Coturnix japonica: one gene and its partners. The protein of the gene in region 1 purifies or fractionates together with the protein of each later gene. This does not show direct contact. Links are inferred from orthologs where the notes say so. Each region holds a gene or a part of one and is shown on either strand. Other genes may lie near its edges.

Region 1 (4,165 bases):
ACGATATGCCTAATTATTATGGAAATGGAGAGGAAGTGATCCTCGTGCGTCCCATGGACTCTTCCTCCTTAAATCTAAAAATACGTTCCCTCCACAGCAATTGCTTTTTATGTACAGAAGACCCAAAATACAGAGTGCTGCAAACCAAAGCCACGTATCTTGCATAACAAATGAAGGAGCGCACATAGTACATTAATTCCCAATTAAAAGAAGTACCAAATGCAACCACAACGATCAGCATAGCGTGAAATGGGCCAGAAAAGATTTGGGGTTTTTGTTTTTTTAAATGCTCCTTCACTAAACCCAAAATCCTCCGCGCCTTCCCCAAGCAAAGATTTCCTCCAACACCCAGCAGTGATTAAACTTCAATTCCCAAAGCACCCCCAATTACTACATCCAAATCCTCCTTTTCCAACCAGCTACTTTCAGAGCACCGTGCTTTTAAAATGAAGGCTGAAAGGGCAGAAGCCCCTCTCCCGAAATTCCGCGGCCAGACCTACTTCTCAGGCTGAAGAATGGAGCTCAGAAACAAGCACGTGGAAAGTTTCGGCCCTTTTGCTGCTACTATCTGCAGCACGCCAGGTTCCCTGCAATCTAACGTTTGTGGCCGAATTGCTACAGGCAGCAGAACAAACACCGCCCTGCCATATCGCGAGTATCGCCTCCGCACACGAGGCCCACTCAATTACTACCTTGAAAAAGAAAATTAAACATGCATCTTGAAATTAAGGGCTCGTTAATCTAGCCCTCCTTGGGAAGGAGTCACCCTCCTGCTGCTTTGCTACACCGGCTCGAAGGAGATAGAAACCCTCTCGCACACAGATAGTCAACCACAGCCCTGCACCGCGTGCCTATAAAACGCTCCGGACTCCAACATGGCAGGAGCAGAGAGATGTACACAGCAGCGTATTTACACGACGCGTTGTGCTGCTAGAGCTCATGTGCTCGCCGCTCCACAGCCCCTCACTGCAGCTCCTGCTCACACACCACATTTTAACTCCTCCACGGAACTTTAAAATACCAGCAGCCCTCCCCAGCCGCAATGCAATAAGCTGAGCATTCCACAGGAAGACCTCGCTCTTTTTCTTTCTTTTTCTTCTTTTTATTTGATTTTATTAAATCCATAGAAACACGGGGGGCCATTCTAGCACAGAGCACGCTGCTGCTGTAAGAAAGCTGCCCCTTTATCTATAAGGAAGAGAAAGCCAAGCCTATGCATTTTTCAGATCACTTCTCACTGGGGAAACACGGAGGGAAATAATAATAATAATAATAATAACAACGAGACAAAAAGAGAAATTACCTTTGTCTTTTAGGCACCGAATGCTCAACTTCTATGAGTTTTCCGTGCAGCTCCACTTTACCTGCGGAGAAGAACAGAAGGGAAAATATTGGAGAGGGGCCGTGCGGCTCTCGGCAGCGCAAGGCAGCAGAGCGGAGCGCAACACGTTAGAGCCCATTCATCGGCCGCGGGGCAGAGCGGGGCGGCAACAAAGCCGTGGCCGCGGGGCCGCTGCCCCCGAGGAAGAACCGCGTGGAGGGCGAGAAGGGCTACGAGGGGCCGAGGGCCTCCGACCCGGCCCGGGAGCACGCGGGGAAAGCGGCCCGAGAGCGGCGGGGCCGCCGTTCGCGGAGGTTCCGCTAAGCGGCTTCACTCGCTGTTTTTATTATGATGGTCTTGATTAGGTTTTTTGGTGGTGGCGGTTTTTTTGGTGCTGTGTTTTTTTGTTGCGTGGTTTTGGTGGGTTTTTTTGTTTTTTGTTTTTTGGTTTTTTTTTTAAATGCACAAAAACAGGATGTCGGGGCCGGGAACCGGCGCGCTGCTGGAGGCGGTGATGGGTGCGTGAGAGCGGCGAAAAGAAACCGAAATAAATACCGGGTGGAACGGGGAGAGGGGGGGGCGGCAGGGCTCCCACCTCCCGGCTCGGGGCATTTCGGCGGGCAGCCCGCGGCCTGCGCCGGGCTCAGATGAGGTGCCGAGGGGAGGGAAGGGGGGGGGGGGGGGGGGGGTGAGCACCGAGGGCCGCCCGCCCCCGCGATGGGCCCCGGGGTGTGGAAAAAGCAGGGGGCCGCGGGCACGGCCCTCCTCCGCTTCCCCCCTCTCACCCCCCCCGGGGGCCGCCGCCGAGCCGGGGGAGTCTCACCTGGGCGCAGGGGGGCACCGGGGGCCGTCGGGGGTGGGAGCGGGGCCGCTCACCCGAAAGAGTCTCGATGGCTTTCATGGCCCAGTTCTCGTCGGGGCAGTCCACGAAGGCGTAGCCGGACTTAACCAGGAACTGGCCCGAGAAGGGGATCTTGGAGTCCTTAAAGAGACTTTCCAGATCGAGCGGGCTGACGTTCTCGCCGAGGTTGCCGATGTAGAGCTTGTTCATCTTCCCGGCGGCGGCTGCAGCCCTCGGCTGGCGGGAGGAGGTGGGGAGAAAACAAAACGCGATGGAGGAAGGAGAGAGAGAGAGAGGACGGGGAGGATAATCGGCTCCGCGGCTCGCGGCCCTCCCTCCCTCTCTCGAGGGGTGAAAAATAAAATGAAAACGAAGGCGAACGGAGCCCTAAGTGCGTGCCGTGCCACCCGGGCGCATGGGGGGCCGCGGGAACAGCCGGCGCCGGGCCGCGATGGCGGGCTGAGAGAGGAAGAGGAGGAGGGGAGGGAGGGAAAAAAAGTACTTTTTGTCTTTGCCCCCGAGCCCCTCCGGCAGCAGCGGGCGGACTATGGAAATGTCACACTACGTGCGCTCAGGCACCGCCTCTCGCTGCAAAAAAACACACAGAGAGAGGAGGGGAGGGGGAGGGATGGAGGGAGGGAGGCAAAGAAGGGGAAGGAAAAAAAAAAATTACTTGAATATTCCGGCTTTTTGAATGAGCCACGTGTTCAAACTACAAATCAACTTCTCACGTGAGGAATCCCGGCTCTTCAATTAGCGAGCGGCTGAGCCGGAGGGGGGGGGAGGGAGGGGGAGGAGAATGAGGAGGAGGAGGAGGAGGGTCGGGGTGAAGGCCGGGGGGGAGCCGGGCGGGACGGGACAAGTTGAGAGCAGAGGGCGGGGGAAGGGGAACGCGGAGCCGGGTGGGCGCAAGCCCTGCCCCCGCCTCTACCCTTCCGCCGGGGGGGCCCCAGCCACCCGAAAAGGAGCGAGCGAGAGGGGTGGCGGCCCGAAGAGGGAGGGGAAAAGGCACCGCAGTGCCCGCCCCCCGCCCCGCTCCTCCCCGCCGGGCCGGGCCGGGGGATTGGGCAGCGGCGGCTCGGCGCGGAGAGCCCGAGGAGCCGGGAGGGTCGGGGGGGAGGAAGAGAAGGAGGATGGGGATGAGGATGGGAATGGGGGGATGGGGGGAGCGGCCGCGGCTGCGTGCTGGGGGGCTGCGATGGGGCGGGGGGCTGCGCAGCCCCTCCGGAGCCCCATCTGGTAATGGTTGTGCGATGCGGGCGTTACGGGAAGGAGGGGGGAAAGGGGGGGAAAATACACGAGAAGGAAAAAAAAAAAAAAAAAGACAAAGGGGGCGGAGGGCGGTGGGGGAGGATGGGGACCAGAGCGGCGCGGCGGGACCTCGCTTGGGGCACCGGGGCCGGGCCGGGGGCACACAAAGGGCCGCGGCCCCATCCCCCCAAAGCCGTTTGCGACTCGGCTGGGCGGGCACGGCGGGGGGCTGGGGGGGGGGAGGTGGGCTCGGGAATGCGCCCGACGCCGGGGATCGGAGACGGAAACGACAGCCGGGCCGCGCTCCGTGCGGGCGGCCAGCGGGGCTCGGAGCGCCCGACGGAGGCGCGTCCCTCCCGCGGCGGCCCCGCACGACCGGAGCGCGGCGATCCGCCGTTCCCCCCGCGCCGTGCTCGTTCCCACGCGGGGCGCGACTCGGGCACCGCTCGACGGGGCGGCTCCTTTGTTCCCCTCGCTCCGTGCGGGGCTCCGGGGGCGTCGGGGTCGCTCCCTCCCGAAGCCACAGTGCTGCCTTCCCGCGCCGAGCACAGCCGAGAGCGCGGAGCTCCCATTGTGCGGCAGTGCCCGCGGATCCGCGAGGAACCGGGATGGGCGAGCGAGGCAGCTCGGGGCCGGCTGGAGGAGCCGGAGGGATTGTCGGCTTGACCGAGCGGGCTGGGCTGCGCTCATCGGAATTTAAGCACTACTTCCGTTTTGTTGGAAACGAGCAAATAATTCTCTTTACATCCCCC
Region 2 (2,485 bases), on another chromosome or scaffold:
TAAGCCTTACAGAGCACATCTCGAGCATCCGCAGAGCTGCGTTTTATCGCCCTGCTCCACAGGACCCACACCACATGCGTTACCTCCACTATCTCTCCCTGCACGGGAGGGTTGGAATATTGTGGTCGACGCCCGTAGGGCCTACGCATGTAGTAAGGTGGGTACCGCCGCCTGCGGTAGGGACGGCGCTGCTGGGCTTGGCCTTCCGGGATGTTCTCTGCTCCTTCGTTCTTCTCCCCACTCTCACTGTTCTGGTAGTTTTGCTGGTAGTTGCGTGGAGGACCCCTGCGACGCGGATATCGTCTGTAATGGTTACGGTCTGCTGCGTATTTGCTGCCTTGCACTGGAACGCCACCAGGCCCTGTCACATTCGCTGCCTCCGCACCCTGAGGAGCAGGGAGAGCATTAAGCAAGCAGTGAGCACCAAACCGGTGTGATTCAGCACCCAGCACCGATTTGCATCCCCATTTGTAAAGCAATGAGCAACCATTCATCTCCCTGGATGTCGTCAGGCAACTGCTCAAACCACAACACCACAGCAAAGCCCGCAGACCTGCAGTTCAATGCATGCTCCAACAGCCCAGACGCATTTACCTTCTCTCCTTCAACCACATCAAACTCCACGGTCTCTCCATCTCCTACGCTGCGGAGGTACTTCCTGGGGTTATTCTTCTTTATGGCAGTCTGACAACATAATATGGCACAGTTACATTCACAACAGGAAAACGCTACTCAGTGCATCTCAAGTTTGTGTTGGTGTTTTGGGGGGACTGAATCTATTTATTAAGACATCCTCCTGGACAAGTCATTAAGCCACAATGGGAACTCAAAGCCAGTGTGTGCTTTATTACTGCTCTGACCTACCCAGAGCACTGTGCAGCCTTACAGCTGTTCCAGGACTATCTGCCCATACGATTCCAGTCAGAGATACAAAATAGCCCCCAAACAATGCAAGCTGCATCAGAAGTTTCTCTCTAAGCACTCTGTACATTCCTATCAGGTGTATGCATTGACTAAAATAGTTATTTGGGGTTATTTCCTGTGCTGTTCAGCAGCATACTGCATTTCTGACAGCTGAGCACGTGCTCTATAAGCACCATTCTCAGCCACGTTCTACTCAGCAAACTTTTTAACAAGTTTAATGCCAGTAACAAATTAATGCCAGCAACATAACGTGGGTCCATTTGTTCCCTAAATGGAATAAAATCCATCATAAGAGATGTCACAAGTTTCAGCACGTAAGCAGTGATTTTAGGGAGACAGGAAACCCTTGTCCCCTCCAACCCATTTGGCTGAGGTCATGCACAGCGCGTATCAAAGAGGTAACACGTTTCAGTTCCCAGCCCATCTTACCTGATGGACAAACACATCTTCCTTGGTGTCATTCCTGCAAGACAGCACCAAAGAGAAATTCAGATGTGAGACAAGCTGCGTGAGGGCCCAGCTTCAAATTCAGTTGTTTAGGGGTGAGGGGAAAGCAGGGGAGCACCGGGACAAGTAGCTGTCAGCTCTGCACTGCTCAGCCTGCTCTAAGGGGAGGCTGCCTCAAAGAAAGACCTTGTTGGGGACCTGTGTGAGGTGCTGAGTGTTTTCCTCCCTCCCCACATATCCCACCAACAGGCTCGGAGGAAAAACACCTGACAGCCCATCAGTTGGGATAGCACAGTGGAAGATGTGACATCACAGGCTATGAAAAGCAGCACACACAGCCTGCGTCCCCAGCTCCATTTCCTGCAGTGATGAATGCTCTATGAGGGCAGCAGCGTGGCTAACAGACAAGCAGGGCACAGGGAGCTTCCTGCTCCACAGTTACACAGCACAGCCCCGGAGCTGTGCTCACCGCTCACAAGCTGTGAGCCCTCAGGCTCACATCACACCAGCTGAGCCTTGCTGCAGTGTCACTTCAAGTCATTCCACAGCCCAATGAATCAACTGCTGAATGCCTTTTATTTCCTAGAATACATGTTATAGGCACAGCTAGTGCTGCAGTGCTCAGAACTGGACTCATTTAAAGCCAGTCACTCCTCCCCGTGCCTTTAACACACGGCAATAACAATACTGTGAACAACTCGATCCAAGTTACAGCTGCCCCGTCACACAGTACCAGCACCACACACCCATTTCCTTATGGAACTGACGCCTGCAAGAACTACTGACCTCAGAGCTGACGGAAAACAGTTCATCCAAAGGGCTACAGAAGGTGATCAGCTCAGCCCCAGCCCCACCAGGCAGCACCCAGAAGCTCTTAAAAAGCCTAAAACTCTTACAAACACAACATGAGATCATAGATGTTCCAGCTGAGGGCCTTGAGGGAAGCCCAGCGCCTGCATTCAGTCAGTGCTCACTGTGCTCCCAACAAATGCAGAGCTCTTCAAGTGTGGATGCTCTGCACTCCTCCCAAACCCCATTCCTCCAAGCACATCAGCTGCTCCTCATTTCATTTAGAGCCCTTTCTACATCACATTTCCCATTGAAGATCATGCTG
Region 3 (3,564 bases), about 820 kb from region 1:
TTCACCTGAAGCAAACTAATTTTTATCTAAACCATACGACCTTAAGATGCAAATCTCACAGACTGATAAAGTACACAAACTTGAATTTGGATAGAATGTACATGAAAAAAAAACATTGATCTATGATTCCTTTACACCACCTACTTTCCTGCATTTGTAAAGTACTGGGTTAGTTTTGAATGTAGCTAACCCGGTTTGCTTGTATGTAATTCAGATGTTCAAGAAAGAAACCCCTCACTGCAGAGCTCCTGAGCTCTGCACCTAACTACAGAGAAGCAGTAGGTGAATTTCTCACCAAAATCAATTTCAGCTCGTAACAGAATCTTTTAAATATTAAACCACTTAAGTTTTCTGAACTGCTACCTCATTGATTTGTGTACTATGCAAAAGGTTCGCAAGTTATCTTTCCCAAAAATTCTTTAGCTCTTACAGATGCATTTCAATTCAATAGTAGTAATTTACTATTACGCAGAACCTGAAGGATGATGTAAACCAACCAACCAACAAAATTGCCTGTCTTACCAGCTCCCCCTCTGAAATTGCTGCCAGGTCCTGGTCCAAAGTTGCCACCACCTCCACGGGCATCACCAAAACCGAAGTTCCCTGTAACAATGTAACATTTGTAAGCAGCAAAACCATGCAAAGCACACAAAAACAAACTGAGAGGCATTAACTGCACGTACCTCCTCTCCCACTCCGAGAATTTTGGACTTCCTGCATTTCCTGTCTAGAGAGGGCTTTCCTTACTTCTGCATTGTGGCCATTAATGGTGTGATACTTCTGCACTGTGAGCACACAGAACAAAACATGGTGAGCATTTAAGTGCTGATCTGGTGACACGAATCTTAAGCTACCAAAAATGCAGTCATTCCCTAACGGTCCCATACACACTCCCTACTGTTATCTTAAAAATTATACATACCGGAATACATTTCATTGATTATTTAAAATACCCATTCCCCACAATTCACTATAACTATCATATTACATTCACTTAAGTATTCCTATTACCTACCTATTTTAAATTTAACTTCACACACGTACCATGACTGCAAGCATCAACATTATCAAAACAAAGCAGTGAGATGAAGATTACTTACATACAATTTTATCCACAGGATCATGGTCGTCAAATGTAACAAACCCAAACCCTCTCTTTTTACCAGACTGTCTGTCAGTAATGATTTCAATAGTGTCAATTTTTCCATATTCCTCGAAGTAGTCACGAAGGTGGTGCTCCTCGGTGTCCTCTTTAATACCACCAACAAATAGTTTTTTCACAGTAACATGAGCACCAGGTTTTCCAGATTCCTATTAAAAGAATTCTCCAAATTACCTCAAAGAAAAGCAATTTAGTTCATAATTTTCTTTCAGGATTTCAAGAATGGAATACTAAGGTTTTCAAATCCTGAGGTTGACTTCTTTCAGTGCATGTCCATAAAACCTCTTTATGGGGTGGAAGGGGTAATAGATGTCCTCCCCAAACCCAGCCTGGATGGGGCCCTGGGCAGCCTGGTTTACTATTGGATATGGAGGTTGGTGGCCCTGCCTATGGCAGCAGGGTTAGAGCTTGATGATCCTTTAAGTCCCTTCCAACCCAAGCTTTTCTGTGCTTCTATGATATATAATAAAATGTATAAAAGTAAATAAAAACAAATTTAGAGACCAACTGCTTGAACAACTCCTTAATAACAAACAAAAACTCCCATGTGTTTTGAGTGTAACATTTAAGGAGCTGCACTAGGTAGGAAGGATTTATCCCTAATGCCTGGTAATAGCTCTGTGTGTATAAACAGTGTGCACATGCCCTGCTTTCTTATGTTTTCGCAAGTGCTAATCAACACTGCATTCTTCTGGAAACTGAATGAAAACTGGGACTGCTAACAAGGGTACCACTTCTAGGTGATGGAAAATGGAAATCACCATAAAACTCCTTATTCAGTTGCTTTTTATCAATCCAAAAACATTAGAAATTTGGGTCAGACCTTGTGCTTGAAGTGGTTAAACCCTCCCAGAGCTCCAACAATGCAAAGAACATGAATTAACCTGCTCAAATATGTCAGTGCTACAGTAACTCAGCTATACTGTATGACTGTATGCCCATCTAATGTATAGCTTGGATTATAAGATCAAATATGCAAGGAGCAGAAACATGACTAATCTTACGCTGATTTTGATCATCACCATTGGAAGGAAAGTACAGTTCCCAACAGTCCACGAACAGACTAAAAATGTGGAAACGGTGTCCCAAACACACCCTTTCACTGAATTTAAACAGAGACAAATTGAAGTATAAATGCATAAGCAAAACAGAGTAGTCTCTCAAAGCATGGAAAGTATCCACTCTCAGTCCTATGCTTACCTCTCTAGCCACAGCTCTCTTGGGCTCCACCACCCTTCCATCAATTGTGTGAGGTCTCGCAGCCATGGCTGCATCAACTTCGGCCATCGAGGAGAATGTCACAAAACCAAACCCCCTTGATCTTTTGCTTGCAGGATCCCGCATTACCTAAAAACGGTGAACAAATTTAAATCACTTCTACGTGTCTCATGTTAAAACTGAACAGCAACATTTGGAGAACCTAATTTAAATAGTTACATGTAAAGCAGCAAGCAATACTGACCAAATACGTAAGCAGCATCCACATGGCATCAGAGAAATTCAGAGTACTATAGTCCCCTAATACCTTACCAGTAACTCCGAAAGCACTCAGTTGCAATGATTCATGTCTATATACATGTATCTTTCTCTAAAAATCAAACATTTGTTTCTACCTCTCTGAAGACTACACTCTTTAAATGCAGGTTATGAAATACATATTTACTGTTCCTCTCTGCACTGTGAGGGGTCTGGAGCACAGGCCTTATGAGGAGCAGCTGAGGGAGCTAGGATTGTTCAGTCTGGAGAAGAGGAGGCTTAGGGGAGACCTTATAGCTCTCTATAACTTCCTGAAGGGAGGCTGTAGTGAGCTGGGGGTTGGCCTCTTCTCTCGTGTAATCAGTGATAGAACTAGAGGGAATGGTTTTAAGCTGCGCCAGGGGAGATTCAGGCTGGACATTAGGAAGTATTACTTCTCGGAAAGGGTAGTCAGGCATTGGAATGCACTGCCCAGGGAGGTGGTGGAGTCACCGACCATGGGAGTGTTCAAGAAACGTTTGGATGTTGTGTTGATGAACATGATTTAGCTGGGAAGTATTGGCAATGGTTGGACTAGAGGATCTTCTAGGTCTTTTCCAACCTTGATAACTCTGAAGTATACAAAAATCACAGGCTGCAGAAAGCCGCCCATCTCTAGCTTCAACAAAGCTGTTAACCAAAGCAGAAGCTTTCTTCCAAAGGTTACTGGTTACACAGATGCTGATGCACTTGGCTCTCCCTAATGCATTGGAAGCAGTGACACCCAAGTTAATTTTGAACAGCTGTAATCAGCAGTTAAGAAATAATCTGAGCAATTTTACAAGAAACAAGCTGTATTTATCAACAATTTATCAGCAGTGTTCTAGAGGAAATCTGCATATAGCTTTGAAGGCCTGATAAGCATGAACCAACTACAGGATCTTAAA
Region 4 (4,364 bases), on another chromosome or scaffold:
AGTTTTTATGTTTGGATTGGAGGGGGAATCTCTCTCATTTGAGCTCAAAGCTGAGGCATAAAACGCCGGTTCCCACAGTGATACAATACCATCCGTTCTTTTATCCACAGACGCATTCACTGCAAGTTTGACAGCATCTTTAAGGTTAATGGCAGACTGATAAGCAGCGTGTATCATGTTGTGGTCCATTTCTATTACTGGGACAAAGGCCTCTTTTATTGATGTTCGTTGCAGCGCTGCTGCTCTCTGAAATGAGAAACGGAAAATCTCATGCAGACCATCTTGTGTGAGAAATACAAGCAGGTGACCTTAAATGGGCTGAGTTTTGGGCATTTATCTCAAATGCAAAAGAGCACAGGTGACAATCAGGCAAAGCCGTGGCACAATTTCAGCAGCAGCTCAGCAGCACATAAGCGTTACTTCCTGATACCTGGAGCAATAAGAAAGCTCTGCCTCGCAGCACAGAGATGTAACTCCTCCTCATGGAGACGAGTTCTCTCCCTCAGTGGCCTTTCTGCACACAGCAGAAATAGTGGCAGAACTGGGGAGAGGTGGAATCGCAGACAGCACTTTGTTCCAGTGCTCTTTCACTCGTGTTTGTGTATTTATCAGTACATCTTGTTATAGGAGGTTCTTGCATGTGACTGCTTTATCATTTGACTAAAAGGATTTGGAAAGCAGGACGACCAGGGCAGTTCTTTATGAATCTATATTCTAAAACCCCAAAGAATCAGATTTGAACCTAAAGGACACGTTACCTTTAAAAAGAGAACGTCATCCCCTTCGGTCAGTGCCATCTCAATCTGGTCTCTCAGAGACTGAATTTCATTCTTCTTACTTCCCAGAATTTTATATATGTAATCGAACTTATTGCAAACTCTTTTTTCTTCTTCCATAACTACTTTTAGGGTCTGGTTTTCTTTTTCTTCAATTAAAGCTTTAATTTCCATAAACTCAGCTCTCAGCAGATCCCGCTTTCTGGCAGCTGTCTCCTGGAGCAGACACAAAAAGGCAGAAACTGGCTTCAAACCAAGTTAGGGGGAAAGCGCTGCTACTGTGGGCATGTAAACTCCAATTACTCACAACTGGCAATAGAAAAGCTCTCAGCACACACACCAACCCCGGCCATCAGGTGAGAGCAGGGCTGAGCTGTGCTCACTTGTGGAAAAGAGCTCTCCCACATTTCTGCTGTAGTGCAGCCGTTGCTACTCACTGCTGCTTTAGGTTGGGCTGCACAGATGCACAATCTGTGCTGCAGTGGGAATGGATGGGTTCATCTCAGTTACTCCCGTGTGGGTGCGAACCACCCCTGTAAGGAGGCTGTGTTTGTTCCCATCCTTAGGGAGCTGCCAAAACGGCTCTTTTCTGATCCTTCTCAGTGAGATTTCTTCCTGACAAGGCAGTTTCAGTACAAGGACTGCCACAAGAGCACAAACAACATTCAGGAGCCAGCACACACCAAGCAAACAGCGCTGTAACTTACAGCAGCTTGACTCTGGATTGTTTTCACAGAGTTCATTGCTTGCACGGATCTTTCACTCTGGTTGTGCAGCTCCACCAGCCTCTTCTTCAGTGCAGCCTGCAAAAGAGGAGAGCAGAGAGCAGCTTAGAAAAGGCGTTGCCATGCTGTCAGTCGGGTCATGGTTACTGGAGTAAGAATCACAGTAGGGAGTTGTTGATAACCACTGTAAGCATTCAGTACCACCCGTTTAAAACCCATTGCTCCTTTAGCAGTGCTGTCGTGCACGCACACAGTTTGTGGGGTCAGCACCCCCATAGCCACACCTTTCCAAAAGCAAGATGGGCGTCCTTGAGTCACTGCTGATAAGGAGAACTCTTTCATCAGCGGAGCAGCTCCCAGCGCTGCAAATAAACTTTGCTTTAGCTCTTAGCCTGGACTTCGGGCACTGGGTAAATACTGCTGTTCACCCCTCGTTGTGACAGAGGATTTTTGTTCTCAGATATGATTGGATCGCATCTGAGGAATGCTGCTAAGCGAAGTCAGAGGGGCTGTCTTAAGTTAATCCCGGTATCTGGGCAGATCGCCCCAGGGAGTGTCTGCAGGGAGCTCAGCTCGGGGCTGCCCCGTTCTCACCTCGGTTTTATCTTTGGCCTCCTGCAGCGTGCTGGTGTGGCACGGCTTGTGGCTCAGCAGGCACAGCGAGCAGATGCAGCAGCCGTGCTGGCTGCAGAAGAACTCAAAGAGCTTGTTGTGCTGCGGGCACTTTCTCTGCTGCAGGTCCCGCACGGGCGGGCACAGCCGATGGTCGCGGAACGCCGGGCTGTCGTGGTGCGGCCGCAGGTGCTCGGGGCAGAAGGAAGCCATGCAGGTGAGGCAGGTCTGCGTGGCGGCCGCCTGCAGGCAGCTGTCGCAGTAGATGAGGGTCGCCGCCTCCCGTTCTTCCTCCTCGCTCTCATCGTCCTCCTTGCCGTCCCCGGTCCCGCTGCCCCGCATCTGCTCCACCACCCGGCACAGCACCGTGTTCTTGCGGAGCTGCGGGCGGCTCGGGAAGGTGGCGCGGCATTGAGGGCAGCTCAAGTCCCGCACCTGGCCGGCCCAGGTGAGCTCCAGGCAGGAGGCGCAGAAGTTGTGTCCGCAGGGCACCGTCACGGGGACGTTGAAGATGCAGAGGCAGATGGAGCACGTCAGCTCCTCCTCCAGCTCCAACAGGTTCGGCTCCGACTTAGTTCTGCTCATCGACGCCATTATCCCGCTGCTGCCTCCAGACCCCGAGGAAACGAAACTGGGGCTGCGGATTTCCGTAAAATTACGAACCATCTCCCCGCCTCGAGGGGCGCGGCGGGTCCGCCCCGGGTTGAGCCCAGCGGGGGCGGCGGACGGGGCGGGACGGGCAGGCGGGGAAGCAGCGCGGGTTGCGGTGTCCCGGGGAGCTGCGATCCGTGCGGGCGCTGGAGCGGACCGAGCCGGCGAAGTACGTGTGTGCGGTTTTCTTGCGTTGTTCTGAGCAAAGGCAGCACTGACACTTCAACACTGAAAGGGCAAAAGGGTTCGGCTGTAAAGGTTTCAGAGCACACTCGGCTGAACACGCTGGGACACCGTTTTGTCTGGGTTCGTTTGTATTGTGCTGGTTCTAGGCTGAGTTCTGTCACCAACACTGTTTATCCTCCTCTCTAAATTACAGAAGCATAAAATCCTTAAACTTTTCTTGATGTTTTCAGGTGAACCCTGTATAGAACTGTAAGGTCTGGCCATTCATGTCATGCTCTGCAGTAAAGAACCATGGACGTCAATATATTTTTCTTTCAATGCTGGATTTTAATGATCCTTACAACAAGTTCTGTATAGCAGTTACGCTGCTCTAGACAAAACAGGACACAGCAGCAGAGCCACAAACACAGCACAAGGTCATCATTTATATTTTCTATCAAACTATTCCAGTTTTGCCACTCACAAAAGTAGAATATAAAAACTAAGATTCTATTAAAAAAAATAAATCAAACCTACATTAAATCTATAACAAACAAAGCATTCTTGGATTAACACAAAACCATCTCTTAAGAAAACAGTGTTTATTTTAAAACCATTTATGGAAAATAACCAGCAGCGCATTTGCTGCCCTCAGAACTGGACGGCAGCATCTCATGAAACAAGTCCACACAAGGATTTACTCGTGTTCACATCTCAGACTGCTCCGTTTTCAGTGCCTGATCCATTCATTGGAGGCTCAACGATCAATCTGGGCTCAATCAGCGAATCCCAACTCTCAGTTATCTGGAAGCAAAATCCAACATTAGCGCGTACAAGGTGTACAGGCAGGTGCAATTTCTTCTGCATCACAAGTTGTTTGGATGTGAACAGCAGCAGCACAGAACAAAGGTCACAGATCATTGCTCCAATTCAGTGATCTTCATCAGCCTTAACCTGCTGATGTGCAGGTAGGAAAACCAGAACCTCATGGAGGTTCGTGGAGCCAAAAAGTTACACAAAGTGGTGACTTTCTGAGTCTAATTAACTGAAATAATACGCAAGAGTTTATTATCTCATGATAATTCCCATTCTTGTTAGAAAGGATTATTTTTGCTTTCATTTACTTTAATGAAACGCTCCATTATAAAAGGACAGCATTGTAAAGCAGGGAAACGTGTCAGCACAACCACGCGGCAGCCTTCAGAACAAGGCAGGCACGTACCTTTGTGTCCTGAGGCACAGCGTATTCTATCAGCTCGGCCCCATCTGCAGACTGATAAACCAGATCAAACTTCCCTGGTTCTTTAGCAACTTTTGAAAACACAGCAAAAAAACCCACTTAGTTAGTATAAACAGACAGGAAAATGTTTACATTTTTACCGTATTTATAGAGCTGGGTCAAGCACAGTTGGATGTGTGGGGATCTTTTTATTTG

Evidence for each region.
Region 2: the proteins of IGF2BP3 (region 1) and YBX1 purify together in Homo sapiens (affinity purification with mass spectrometry; 3 studies listed by BioGRID and IntAct, with this or other methods). This does not show direct contact. The link is inferred for Coturnix japonica from reciprocal best matches to the Homo sapiens genes IGF2BP3 and YBX1.
Region 3: the proteins of IGF2BP3 (region 1) and HNRNPA2B1 purify together in Homo sapiens (affinity purification with mass spectrometry; 4 studies listed by BioGRID and IntAct, with this or other methods). This does not show direct contact. The link is inferred for Coturnix japonica from reciprocal best matches to the Homo sapiens genes IGF2BP3 and HNRNPA2B1.
Region 4: the proteins of IGF2BP3 (region 1) and TRIM25 purify together in Homo sapiens (affinity purification with western blotting; 3 studies listed by BioGRID, with this or other methods). This does not show direct contact. The link is inferred for Coturnix japonica from reciprocal best matches to the Homo sapiens genes IGF2BP3 and TRIM25.

The regions. Positions count from the first base shown.
Region 1 is NC_029517.1:28,632,074-28,636,238, forward strand, and holds the start of IGF2BP3 (insulin-like growth factor 2 mRNA-binding protein 3), read right to left. Parts: upstream 2,812-4,165; 5' UTR 2,373-2,811; coding exon 2,198-2,372; intron 1,365-2,197; coding exon 1,304-1,364; intron 1-1,303. UniProt on the Homo sapiens protein: RNA-binding factor that may recruit target transcripts to cytoplasmic protein-RNA complexes (mRNPs). This transcript 'caging' into mRNPs allows mRNA transport and transient storage.
Region 2 is NC_029536.1:5,557,171-5,559,655, forward strand, and holds part of YBX1 (Y-box-binding protein 1), read right to left. Parts: intron 1,388-2,485; coding exon 1,354-1,387; intron 685-1,353; coding exon 595-684; intron 387-594; coding exon 84-386; intron 1-83. UniProt on the Homo sapiens protein: DNA- and RNA-binding protein involved in various processes, such as translational repression, RNA stabilization, mRNA splicing, DNA repair and transcription regulation.
Region 3 is NC_029517.1:29,448,102-29,451,665, forward strand, and holds part of HNRNPA2B1 (heterogeneous nuclear ribonucleoproteins A2/B1), read right to left. Parts: intron 2,510-3,564; coding exon 2,363-2,509; intron 1,312-2,362; coding exon 1,101-1,311; intron 786-1,100; coding exon 684-785; intron 604-683; coding exon 523-603; intron 1-522. UniProt on the Homo sapiens protein: Heterogeneous nuclear ribonucleoprotein (hnRNP) that associates with nascent pre-mRNAs, packaging them into hnRNP particles.
Region 4 is NC_029533.1:7,752,681-7,757,044, reverse strand, and holds the start of TRIM25 (E3 ubiquitin/ISG15 ligase TRIM25), read right to left. Parts: upstream 2,803-4,364; 5' UTR 2,780-2,802; coding exon 2,096-2,779; exon of another isoform or gene 1,580-2,095; coding exon 1,484-1,579; exon of another isoform or gene 993-1,483; coding exon 759-992; exon of another isoform or gene 247-758; coding exon 90-246; exon of another isoform or gene 1-89. Other genes in the region: COIL (coilin), read right to left, coding at 3,644-3,733, 4,152-4,240.